Macaca mulatta: one gene and its partners. The protein of the gene in region 3 interacts with the protein of the main gene of each other region in a pairwise test. Links are inferred from orthologs where the notes say so. Each region holds a gene or a part of one and is shown on either strand. Other genes may lie near its edges.

Evidence for each region. The genes of interacting proteins can lie anywhere in the genome.
Region 1: the proteins of NPM1 (region 3) and GNL3 interact in a two-hybrid assay, tested with the Homo sapiens proteins (2 studies listed by BioGRID, with this or other methods). The link is inferred for Macaca mulatta from reciprocal best matches to the Homo sapiens genes NPM1 and GNL3.
Region 2: the proteins of NPM1 (region 3) and RELA interact in a two-hybrid assay, tested with the Homo sapiens proteins (2 studies listed by BioGRID and IntAct). The link is inferred for Macaca mulatta from reciprocal best matches to the Homo sapiens genes NPM1 and RELA.

Annotation. Positions count from the first base shown.
Region 1 is NC_133407.1:116,244,242-116,248,299, reverse strand, and holds the start of GNL3 (guanine nucleotide-binding protein-like 3), read right to left. Parts: upstream 2,838-4,058; 5' UTR 2,777-2,837; coding exon 2,764-2,776; exon of another isoform or gene 2,659-2,763; intron 2,090-2,658; coding exon 2,031-2,089; intron 1,620-2,030; coding exon 1,482-1,619; intron 1,362-1,481; coding exon 1,248-1,361; intron 743-1,247; coding exon 659-742; intron 1-658. UniProt on the Homo sapiens protein: May be required to maintain the proliferative capacity of stem cells. Stabilizes MDM2 by preventing its ubiquitination, and hence proteasomal degradation.
Region 2 is NC_133419.1:8,726,893-8,731,116, forward strand, and holds the start of RELA (transcription factor p65), read left to right. Parts: upstream 1-1,387; 5' UTR 1,388-1,716; coding exon 1,717-1,778; exon of another isoform or gene 1,779-2,025; intron 2,026-2,250; exon of another isoform or gene 2,251-2,363; coding exon of another isoform or gene 2,364-2,370; exon of another isoform or gene 2,371-2,396; intron 2,397-2,843; exon of another isoform or gene 2,844-2,985; coding exon of another isoform or gene 2,986-3,012; intron 3,013-3,070; coding exon 3,071-3,254; intron 3,255-3,322; coding exon of another isoform or gene 3,323-3,355; coding exon 3,356-3,504; intron 3,505-4,224. UniProt on the Homo sapiens protein: NF-kappa-B is a pleiotropic transcription factor present in almost all cell types and is the endpoint of a series of signal transduction events that are initiated by a vast array of stimuli related to many biological processes such as inflammation, immunity, differentiation, cell growth, tumorigenesis and apoptosis.
Region 3 is NC_133411.1:180,245,348-180,249,368, reverse strand, and holds the start of NPM1 (nucleophosmin), read right to left. Parts: upstream 2,801-4,021; 5' UTR 2,705-2,800; coding exon 2,647-2,704; intron 602-2,646; coding exon 522-601; intron 1-521. UniProt on the Homo sapiens protein: Involved in diverse cellular processes such as ribosome biogenesis, centrosome duplication, protein chaperoning, histone assembly, cell proliferation, and regulation of tumor suppressors p53/TP53 and ARF.

The sequences.
Region 1 (4,058 bases), on a different chromosome or scaffold from region 3:
GGATTTCAAAAATGAAAATATCCCTGTCTTTGAATCCTCCCATAGTGAATTATGTAGTTTGGTAGGTCCCTCTGGCCTTGCCAAAAGCTGCTGAGGGGCAGTCAGGTTCTATCCACGGGGGAGTGAGCTTGGGAAAATGGATGTTGGGGATGGGAGTGCTGGAGAGCAACTACACCAAGGAGACAGTACCCTCTTGTCCTCTTTCACTTAGGTTTCAACAGAGTAGAGACCCTTAGCCTGACATTGCTTACTCCAATGTACTTTTCTCAATCTCAACACTATGTCAACATTTTTTAAAAAAATGTTGTAAATCATGCTTACAGGCAGAACCAGTTTTGTGCAAATATTTAGAACCAAAGAAACTATTTGTCAGGTAAACATAGCAGGAAAGGCATTAAACAGCATAAGTTAGAGTCGAGTCATGAAATGATTTGTTGGTGGAAGGTGGGAGGAGGGAGAGGATCAGGAAAGGTAACTAATTGGTACTAGGCTTAATACCTGGGTGATGAAATAATCTGTACAACAAACCCCCACGACACAAGTTTACCCATGTAACAAACCTGCACATGTACCCTTGATCTTAAAAGGTTAAAAAAAAAATGACTTGAGTCTTTTAAACCTCATTACTACTGTCAGACACTGACCTAGGCTAAGATACCTTTTTAAGTTCTTGGCAGTACAGCTTCTTTGAATTCTGTTTTCCTGACTTGGCTTTGTTCTCAGTTTTGCAAAGCCCAAATGCCTAGAGGATAAAGGGGAAAAGGACACAAAATTAGAAGTAGAGCAGTAGTAACCTCTATCTCCATTTTCCACAGCTGAGTAGCAGCACTTGCAGTTGTTAAATAGGTAAGATGGAGTCTGAACTCAGTTGTCTTCCTCCCAAGAAGCTCAGCAGCCTGTAGATGTGCTTTTATTTCTGCACCAGAACTCATCTCTCAGCCAGGCGCAACAGCCCACACCTGTAATACCAGAAACTGGTAGGCTGAGGTGGGTGGATCACTTGAGTCCAAGAGTTTGAGACCAGCCTTGGCAATATAGTGAAAGCCCGTGTCTACTAAAAAAAATTAGCCAGGCATGATGGTGTGCTTCTGTAGTCCCAGCTCCTCAGAGACTGAGGTGGTAAGACTGCTTGAGCCTGGGTGGTCGAGGTCGCAGTGAGCTGTGATTGTGCCACTGCACTCAGGCCCAAGCAACAAAAACAAAATCAAAACCCCTGATCTCTCATTCATAAAGAGACCTAATCATACCTTTTCCATAGGTTCCACATTTGATGGCTTAATATCAGGATTAGTTTCAAGTTTTCTTTTCTTTCCTAGTTCCTTCTGCCTGTCAAGTTTCTGCTGCTGTTTTAGTTCTTCAAGCTGTGTCAGAGCCGTAAGGGAAATAGATGAACCAGTGACTAGTGTTGTTACCTTACTCTGAAAAATATCACACATAACACACTATACCACTCGTTGAAAATTCTGGCTAACATAACTTACCCTCTGTTTCCTTAGCTCAGCTTCCCTAAGAAGAGCCTCCTTAAAGGGAGCACTGTTTGGAACTCCTGGGTCTTTCCTAGGCTTCTTGTGACCCCGCTTTTTAGCCTCCTTCCTTAATTTTCGATGATGTTCTCGAACCTATTAAAGAGATTTTGTCTGCTTACAAAAATATCTTTATACTTAAGCAGAATTCAAGTGAGAAACCAATCTGGCTGCAATTTAGTTATGCCTATAAAATGTAATAGGAAAATGGAGCTTTAGTTGGAATCTTACAAAGTAATGCATAGGTAAGTATAAAACAGTAAGAAAATGTAACTAGAAGGCTCTCTATGCAGAGATTAACATGTTGAACAAATTTAGAGACTTACCACCAAATCACTGCACTTTCTCACAGCTGCACTCCTGATGCCTAAGAGCTCGTGCCCATGGTCAGTCTATCCAATGCCATTTTCCGAAACCAAATCACATTAACCCGGACTTTCCCGCAAAGGAACAGGGCAAAATCAGTTTAGCAGTGTTTAGTATAGCTCTCTCAAGCACTACACTTACCTTTTTTTGGATTTTATACCGCTTATGGCAGGTCATGCGTTTACTTGCTTTCTTTAACTCTACAAAGAAACATCACAAATCTGTTAACGCAAATGATTAGTTCTGGGTTAACGCACTATGGAGTTATATCCTTTTCTCGTGTTATTGGCTGCCAAACCTAACGTTAAGACTAATGCGAAATGCCTAATGCAAACATACATGCCACTTTCAAATTCCAGAGAATTAGATTCAGTAGATCCAGAACGGAGTCCAAGTTCCCTGCACCTACTCTTACAATATCAGAATAGGATCATACACAGCAGCGTGTACGAGCGTTTATGAGACCCAAAACGACAGCCACTTTGTGTCAAACAGCACGAATCATAAGGCAGGAGAGGAACACTGAGTCTGGGAGGCGATTCTCAGCTCTCACCTGGGCCAGCCTGCACGTGGCCACGGAAAGTAAGATATTGGGCCTGAAACCTGGCTCAGAAGCTGCTTCCTTACGAAAATCTAGCCTAGTCTTTCCCACCCTCTGCCCGTCTTCGTTCCACAGAATGAGCCCGCGCGGTTAACATGATCGCCGTAGGGACTTCCAACTCTCGGTCCTACGAGAAAATAGGGCCAAGGCCTACGCGTAGGCTCTCACCCCTATATCAGCAGAGACAAAGCCGTAGCCGTAAAAGAGCGTCGTGGAGGCTGCAGCAACTTCCAGACATGGGTCCCTCCACGCCCGCTTCCCGACCCCACTTACTAGGCCGCTTCATGTTGGCTGTAGAAAGCGGCACGAGCACGACACCCTGCCTCCTCTAGCGCCACGTGTGAAGTGAAGCCACTGACGAGCGTCACGCACTTACGCTGCCGCCGTAAAGTGCGTCACCGCCTCTCTGCGTGCGCGCGCACGCAGTGTCGCGCGGAGCAGGGATCGCTTGGCGGCCGCGGGACTGGTTTTGCGGCGGCACCGGGAGGGGTAAGGGAGGTGAGGGCGGCGGGTGCCGGAGCGACGGCAGCGGCCGCGGCCGGAGGAGCAATAGCAGCAGCCGTGGCGGCCACGGGGCGGGGCGCGGCGGTCGGTGACCGCGGCCGGGGCTGCAGGCGGCGGAGCGGCTGGGTAAGGCCGGGCCCAGGGCGGGTGGGGCCGCTCCCCCTCGGCCAGCTGCCGGGCCTTTGTGTGGGCCCTGGCGGGCGGGAGCCGCCGCGGAGGCCCCGCCCCGGCTGTGGGGACGCGCCGGTCGGGCCGGGCGCGCGGGGTTGGGCGGGGCACGGCGGCGGGCCTCCCGATGGGCCCAGTAGCTTTGTCGCACCTGCCGGCAGACAAAGGCGCACTAAGGCCCGGAAACTCCCCGCCCTCCTCTTTCCCGCTCGTCGCGGGGCAGCTTCAAAGCTGTCAACGTTTCCCTCAGCCCCCAATACCAGTGACAGGTCGGGAAAGTCCTTCATTTCCTCCGTTGCTCAGGGCCTCTTTTTTTTGTTGTTATTTCTTGGCGGTTCGACACAAACTCTTACTGATTTTTCTTTCCGTATTTTTTCCGGGTGTTTTAATCAATGGGACTTCTATAGTAGAGGCCAAATATTTCAGCTTCTCATCTCAACACCACAAAGAATCCGGGTTTTTGGGAACTGTGTATATTTCTTGGTTTGGGGAAGCACAGTTTTGTTATTATAATAAGTTTTAATTTAAAGGGGCAGAAAGAGTTGCAAAAATATGGAAAAAGTCCTGAAAAATAAGTACACGGTATAGTGAATATAGAAATTCTTACAGTAGCTATACAAGCGTATGTTGGGGTAAAATGTTTTAACTTACTTTCCAACACATTAGGACTCTTGACAAATAATTTTAGGTGTTATTTTTTCTCCATTTGGCTATGTGCTTCCCCCCAAAAAGTGCATATTGGACTCATGCACATAAAAGAGTAGCATAATTTTTGCTTTATTACTTACAGGTCGCCCATATTTGATTTTGAGCTCCAAAATGGAAGATTGGAAAATATGTTTTGAAGAGGTGTTTCAAATTAAAACAATAAAGAGTTATGTGTGGATGAATGGAAG
Region 2 (4,224 bases), on a different chromosome or scaffold from region 3:
CAAGTAACAAAGGACAACAAATCATATGATGCCCTCTACATAAAAGTTCAAAACTGGCCGGGCGCGGTGGCTCAAGCCTGTAATCCCAGCACTTTGGGAGGCCGAGGCTGAGGTCAGGAGTTCGAGACCAGCCTGGCCAACATGGTAGAACCCCGTCTCTACTAAAAAAATACAAAAATTAGCCAGGAGTGGTGGTTGGCCCCTTTAAATCCCAGCTACTTGGGAGGCTGAGGGAGGAGAATCACTTGAACCCGGGAGGTGGAGGTTGCAGTGAGCTGAATGCCACTGCACTCCAGCCTGGACGACAGAGCGAGACTTCATCTCAAAAAAAAAAAGTTCAAAACTAAGGAAAACCAAACAATATATTGTGTAGGCATGCAGATATGAGTAATTTTTTTTTTTTTAATACAGAATTCTGGCCCAGGCGTGGTGGCTCATGCCTGTAATTCCACTTTGGGAGGCTGAGGTGTGAGTATCGCTTGAGCCCAGGAGTTTGAGACCAGCCTGGGCAACACAGCAAGACCCATCTCTAGTTATAATTAATTAATTAATTTAAGAAAATACAGAATTCTGGCCCAGCGTGGTGACTCATTCCTGTAATCCCAGCACTTTGTGAGGCCAAGGTGGAAGGAAAGTTGAGCTCAGGAGTTCAAGGACAGCCTAGACAACAAGGTTAAACCACTTCTCTACAAAAAAATACAAAAACTTAGCCAGGCATGGTGGTGTGCTCCCATAGTCCCAGCTATGCAGGAGGCTGAAGTGGGAGGATTGCTTGATCCTAGGTGGTAGAGGCTGCAGTGAGCCAAGACTGTGCCACTACACTCCAGCCTGGGCGACAGAGCGCGAGCCTGTCTCAAAAAATAAATACATACAATACAATACAATACAACGCAGAATTCTGCACGGTGGTGGTCCCTTAAGTTTTGCAATGGGTACACGGGTGTTTATGGTATTAATTTAAAAGTTATAAATATACATGAATTTTAAGAAGAGGATCCATGCAAGGTTTAATGATAATTGTATGTCATCCATTCGCTCAACTGAAGTCGGCCTTCCCCGCCCCCTGCCAAAAGTAAACACTTTTCTAATCAGGGCCAGCCACTGGAGAAACTGAAATGAGTGGGCGGGGTGCTAACTCTATTTTCACTTTTCTCTTCCTGTTTCTTCAGAGCCTGGGAAACAAGTCAGAATTTCCAGTCTTTTCCAATTCCCACATGATTTCCTAATTCAAGACGAATTCAGAGAAAATAAGTCTTTCTCCATCTGGAGAAGACTCCGCCCCCTGGAGCATCCTCCTTCGGGGATGAGGCCTGAGGTGGGGCTGCGCCAGCCCCAGCCCCCACAAGGACGCGCCTTGGGCTTGGTCTTGGGGGAGCTACCCGCACTGTGGGGTCACATGACAGAATTAGTGGTCAGCCCTAGCTGGAGGTCCAGGGCAAACACAGGCGGGGGCAGTGGGGTTGGGGGTTGTGGCCCTGCTGATTCGAGTGTCCCCTGTGGGTTCCGGACCTTCTGAGATACAAGCGCCAGGCTTCAGAGACGAAGCTCCGGGGTTTACCCCTGGGGACCCCCTGCTCCTGCAGCCGCTGAGGGCCGGCAGTTTGGCTGCATAGTAAGCTGGCGCTTTAGCTGGAGAGGGACGAGCTCTCGGCCAGCTCGCCAGCGGGAGGGCCTCAAGTTGTCCCATCCGGGCTGCAGGCTCCGCAAAGCTCCCTGATGCACTGTCAGAGGGGGAGGTCCGGCCGCTCCCCTTCCCCTACAGCCGCATCTAGAGTGGGGTAGGTTGGACATTTTAACGTGCTTCTGAGACAGTCACCACCGAAAGGCACCTTTAGCGATGAGGAAACCGGCGTGGAGTTCAACCACCCGGCCTCTGCGGAGCAGAAGGCCCGACTGGGCCTTTCCCTGCGCGGGGCGGGCGGCCGCAGCCCCGTAGCCCGGGCTTTGCTCCAGACCCGGCCCAGAGTGACATCACCAAACTCCGCCGATCGGTGGGAGGGGGCCCTGAAATCCCCTAAAAACAAAGTGAGTAATCGGCGGACCCGCCCTCCAGGCGGGGCCGGGACCCGGGAGCTAGCCGAACCACCGGGCACACCAGCCTCTTCGTCTCCGGCGACGCGCGCACTTGGCCCCGGCCCCCGGCAGCGGCTGTGCGCGCGGCCTCTTCGTCCTCCGCGCGGCGCGCACTTGCTCCCGGCCCCTTCGCCGGGCGGCGGCGGGGCAGCGCGCAGGCGCGGCCGGATTCCGGGCAGTGACGCGACGGCGGGCGCGCGCGGCGCATTTCCGCCTCTGGCGAATGGCTCGGCTGTAGTGCACGCCGCGGGCCCAGCTGCGACCCCGGCCCCGCCCCCGGGACCCCGGCCATGGACGGTGAGGTCGCCCTCTGACCCCGCGGGGTGGCCGCGCCGGGACCGCCCCGGCTGTGGCGGGAGGCCCCGCGCCGCTTTCCGCCCCTTCCTGCGCCGACTGGCGCTGCGCAGGGAGCGGTCGGCCTGCCGGATGGTGGCGCGGGGCGGGGCAGGCGGGGAGGGGTCTGACTCAGTTTCCCCTCTGGGTGGAGGGGGGCCCTTGACTCAGCATCCTCCCTGGGTGGGGGAGCAGAGGGAGCCTTGACTCAGTTTCCCTCCACACCGTCCATGGGGGCAGCTCTGGCTTCGTTTCCCTATTAGGGGAGAACGCATCTGATTCAGTTTCCTCTCTGGATGGAGGTGGGGCGTGCCCTCCCTCAGTTTTCCTTATGAAAGTACAACAGGCCCTGATTCGGCTTCCCTCGGGAGAAGGATTCCTTACCCCGTTTTCCCTCAAGAAGCAGGTGTTTCTGGTTCCTTTCCTCCACTCCTTAGTTTCACCGCAGGTTCTAGGAAGCAGGTCCTTACTCAGTTCCCCTGGGAGGGAGCCTGGCTTCTCTTCTCTGTGGAGAGCAGATACTCCCTTGTGAGGATGGGCAGTGGGTGTGTGCTGACCCTGATCTCCCTCCCCTTTCAGAACTGTTCCCCCTCATCTTCCCGGCAGGTAAGTGGCCCCCGCAGCAGTCCGGGAGGTGTTCCCTGGGGTAGGGCAGCGGGGGCAGCTGTCTAATGGGCCTGCGGTGTCCCCTGGCAGAGCCAGCCCAGGCCTCTGGCCCTTATGTGGAGATCATTGAGCAGCCCAAGCAGCGGGGCATGCGCTTCCGCTACAAGTGCGAGGGGCGCTCCGCGGGCAGCATCCCAGGCGAGAGGAGCACAGATACCACCAAGACCCACCCCACCATCAAGGTCAGCACTGCACCAGGGTGTGCGGGGAAGGGACTGTGGAACCCCAGCCCTCTGTGTTTGGGAGTCAGGTTTGGATGTCTGGGCCTCTGTACTTTGGACAGATCAATGGCTACACAGGACCAGGGACAGTACGCATCTCCCTAGTCACCAAGGACCCTCCTCACCGGCCTCACCCCCACGAGCTTGTAGGAAAGGACTGCCGGGATGGCTTCTATGAGGCTGAGCTCTGCCCGGACCGCTGCATCCACAGGTGAGCTCCCTGCAGGCTAGGAGGCCCAGCATGAGGGAACAGGAGGCGGGCTATGAAGTAGCCGCTACAGTGTTACTCCTTTCTGGACACAGGGCAGAGTTGCTTACTTCTTGCTCTGACTCAGCTCTGCAAGTAAACTCTCTTTGTCTTGAAATGATCTATTTGTACCTCTACTCTAGCACAGATAAGAGCTCCAAGGGATATGGATGGGTCCCTAATCACTTCTGAATCCCTGACCCCTGTAGCTGGAAGGACAAGTCCCTTGGAGTCATGTCTCTTGTTTGAGAAAGAAAACCACTGAACCAACACTCTCCCCTGGAGGTGACATTGCAGTTGACAGAAACAGGCCTTAAAAAAATATACAGGCCAGGCATAGTGGCTCATGCTTATAATTCTAGCACTTCCGGAGGCCAAGGCAGGAAGATCTCTTGAGCCTGGGAGTTCAAGACTAACCAAGGCAACATAGTGAGACCCTATCTCTACAAAAAAATAAGAAATTAGCTGGGTATGGTGACTTGTGCCTATAGTCCCAGCTACTTGGGAGGCTGATGTGGGAGGATCACCTGAGCCCAGGAGGTCACCGCTATGGCAAGCTATGATTACACCACGACACTTGGGTAGCAGAGCGACACCTTGTCGTGTTTTTTTTTTTTTTTTGAGACGGAGTCTTGCTCTGTCCCCAGGCTGGAGTGCAGTGGCGCAATCTCAGCTCCCTGCAAC
Region 3 (4,021 bases):
CCCAACAGTTGCAATGAGGCACATGACTATGATTTTTTAAAAATACAAGTATAAACCTATCACTGTTACCTCAGAAAACAAATCTGTGCAATGTTATCCTCAGGTTTTGTGATCTTGGCAAATCAATTTCTCATATTCAGAAAATTTAAGAAATGCATAAATATGCATACACACAATATAGATCACCTAACTTATTTATTGAGCAACTTCTAAGTTGAGAGAAAAGCTAGTCTCTGGTAGACATGTAAGATTATCGATGCCTTTTACAAGGGCTTTATAATCCAACTGAAGAAAATAAGGCAAGTTTAACGATGTGACTGGATTTTACATGGTTACCAAATGAGTATAGATGCCAAGTTCTTCATCAAAGATGTACAGACAGTGAGGTACACACAATACCCAGGTGTAAGAAATAGTATTTTATAAGCAGTCAGCAAAGGAAAAGTCTCAAGCCACATGAATAGAAACTAAAAGGCTGAAATCAAGTAGGGTTAAGTAGTTTATTTTGAAAGTTTAAGTACCGTTCTTAAAGATAACTGGTGCTCATTTTCATCATTATCCACCTTAAAGTGATAATCTTTGTCGGCCTTTAGTTCACAACCTGTAAATGAAGAAAAAAGCAACTCTAACAAGGAGAAAAATAACACTGAAACTTAAGTGTGGGTAACCAAAAAGGTCAGGTCTAACTTTTGAACTAGTTTTTCACAATTTTAGCTACCAGAGGGCAAAGCAGAATGATCAATTCCACGATTTCTTGAACAGAAACCTCTACAAACAAGTAACACCCATAGAAGTCTACAATTCTATTTTCTCCTCATACCATATTTCATCTCTACGCTGATAGGCACTGTTATTCTGCATACAGAAACGAGCTCAACGGTTTAGTAAATCTGAACCTAAAACAATTACCTGAAACCAAATGTAATGTCCAATGTTAAGTTTCCCACTATTTAAAACAGCTGATTTACCCACCTAAATTCCCAAATGGAAAGTTCGAAATGAGAACGGTTACAAACATGAATAGCTTACTATTACAAAAGAAAAACGACAAAGGTAAAAGAACCAAAGCTTGCTACAGGGGTCAACACTCTACTCTTTAAAGCAACAGAAAGTGACATACGCCTGAAACTATATTCAGAAACTATGTTTAAGACAAGGAGGATTGTTTCCAACAGTTATCAAAAAGTACTGATATAAATTTATCAGAATTCTCAGTTATCCAAAACAGCTAGGAATTAAAGCCTTAATGTTTTAAATACATGTGTCTACTGCCACTCCATCCATGCATGGGCAAAATTCTTTAAAATACTGTCAGAATAAAAATTTTAAATAATTCCATTTAACTACCATCTGTTACCAATACATATACACGCTTAAATGTGAAGAGGTTTAATTAACAAATCTCAGCACGGATAATGAACAAGATAAAATTCACGGTAGGATTCGCACTTACTTCAAAGTCCGAATAGTACACAAAGATTAGGCTTCTGTAATTAAACCTACTGACATTAAAAACCCAAGTGGGACTCTCCTTTTTGGGGCAGGGCTACCGCAAGTCGAAGGGGGTGGTGGTCCCAAAATTCTGCGAATAGTTTTAGGTCTTGATCTGACTCAAATCGAACACTCTACTTGTTTCTTGTATTTAAATAAGCGGTTTGGTCAATGCTGCACAAATGGCGGCATGCGAGGACGTCCCCCTAAAACGAAGCCTCATTAATATTCACGAAGCAGCAGCTACGAGTCAAGGGTCTTGGTTTAGTTTTAGCCTCTTTGCCTATAAGTACAACCTTCGTTAAGTGAGTTAATCTCTGGGCACCAGTGCCGTCATCTGCAAAGTGGGGCTAGCTCCAGCTACTGCAGTGAGACAGAAAAGGGGCTCAAAAAAAAAAGAGCTGCCATCACAGTAGATGCTGTAAGCACTGAACAAAGGCCTCCAGAATCCTAGTGTTACCAGCCTCTTAACATTTCCCACTTCAACTGAGCCACAGCATCCCTTGATCTGGAGTAGCAACATGCTGGTGAGCCCCGGATGTAGTGCCCACACCCCCCTCCCTCCCCCAACCACGTGGCAACCACGTGCTCCCAGCGGTTGCGGCCGCCTCACGCCGCGCCGCGCCTCCCCTCCCCCAGTAACTGGCCGAAGCACGCGAGTGAAATCTGGGTCCGGCAGCTCCAGACTCTGAGGTCAGAACAACGCCAGGCTGTGCATCTACCCTCTCCAACAAGCAGGCCCATGCTTCCCGGTAAACCCAGCCTCCGGGACCACCAACCCGGGGCCTGGGATCAGAAGCCTACGAACGAACTCCGTTAGAAAATAAACCACGCCTGGGGCTCCGCGGCGTATCCCCGGCAACGGCCGAACTTCCAGGCGGCCAGTTCCGCTACACCTCAGGCCCTGGGCCTCGGACTGCTCACGCTCCAGGCGCTTCAGGCCGCTCGTCTCCTCCCCCTTCACGCCTCCGGCTCCCCCCGCGGCTCCAATCCCACCAGGTCCAGGGCTCGGGCAGCTCTTCCCACCCGCTCAGGCCTCCAGCCGGTCTGGCGGTCTCCACCAGACCCTGCTGCAGCCGTATTCCCTCCCCTCACCCCCGCCTTCACCGCCACCAGGCCCCGCTCGGCCTCGCTCCAGCTCCCCCCTGCAGTTACCGAAAAGATAGTTCTGGGGCCTCAGGGGGCTCATGTCCATGTCCATCGAATCTTCCATCAGGTGGCGGCACGCACTTAGGTGGGAGAGAAGGCGGACGGAGATAAACCAACGCTGCTCCAGAGAACAGCCGCGCAGGACGGAATCACACCAGGGAAAGGACGCAAGCTCCCCGCGCTTATATATAGCCCCTGAAGATCTCGCGAGCGCTTCTCAAGTCCCGCCTCCGCGCGCGTGCTCCGGAGCCTTCCCACCCCCGTACCGTAGCCCTCCTGCGCAAGCGCTCTTCAACCACACTCCTTTCTACCTCGCCCCCCACCTCCTTCCAGGTACTCCGCGGGCTCCCACCGAGCACGCGCACTCGTACACTGGCCCCACCCCTCCACCGCTGTCGCCTGTGCGCACGCGTGCTTTCCAGTCGTAACGCGCGCTCCCCACCTCCAACACTTCCACGTCCTCTCCCGCTCAAGCGCTCCGGCCTCCCGCCAAGAGTCTGCGTAGCCCACCCTGCAAAATGGCGTCGGCAGCTCTTAGCTGTGTTAGATATGGCGGGTTGTTAGCTGGCTGGGAATGAACCGGAGAGCACCTCGATTCACTTCCCCCATACCCTAGTGCCTTGCAAACCTCCAAACAGGCGTAATCATTTCAGGATTTTTTTTTACTTGCCTGAAGGCTTGGGATCGCAGTTAATCGTTACCCCAAAGTTCAGGTGCCGGAGAGTGAATTGCGGCTTATTCTTTGTTAGGAAGGAAAGATGTAGCTACCGGCCAGGCTTACGGAACTGTGTTTTTACAGTTCTGCCCTTCCTGAGAAAACATCTCCAAAGTCCTCATCTTTATGTAATTTGGGGGCCTAAAGGGGACTGAATCAGTCTCCAAATGAGCAAGGACATCGCCCTAAGAGAGCTCGGAGGGTGGGCAGACTCTTGACTTCTTGCCGCTCTTAATCTTTAGGATTCCTCCTGAAAGAAAGCGAGTGACTTATAAGAACTACAGAAGCCTTAATCGAATATTTGGTAGCGAGTATGGGAATTAACATTTTAAGCTACACGTTGACAAACTCCGAGGTACCCCAGCAGCCCCGGGCATTGGGGCGTTCTGAAGACCCGTAATCTTTTTTTTTAGCCTCAACATATCAAATTTAAGAAGTGAAGAATATAAATGATAGCCTCAGAAAGGAAGACCCCCCCACCCCAAGGCATTATTTCTTACAAGAAAATTATACAGACGATTTCAGCATCCATCAAAAGAGGAATGAACAGTTAAATTATAACATATCCATAATATGCGTTAGTTGTGGACACATACTAACGCATAATATGGATATGTTATAATTTAACTCTTCCTTTCTGAGAGCGCCTGTGTCACATAAAGCTTT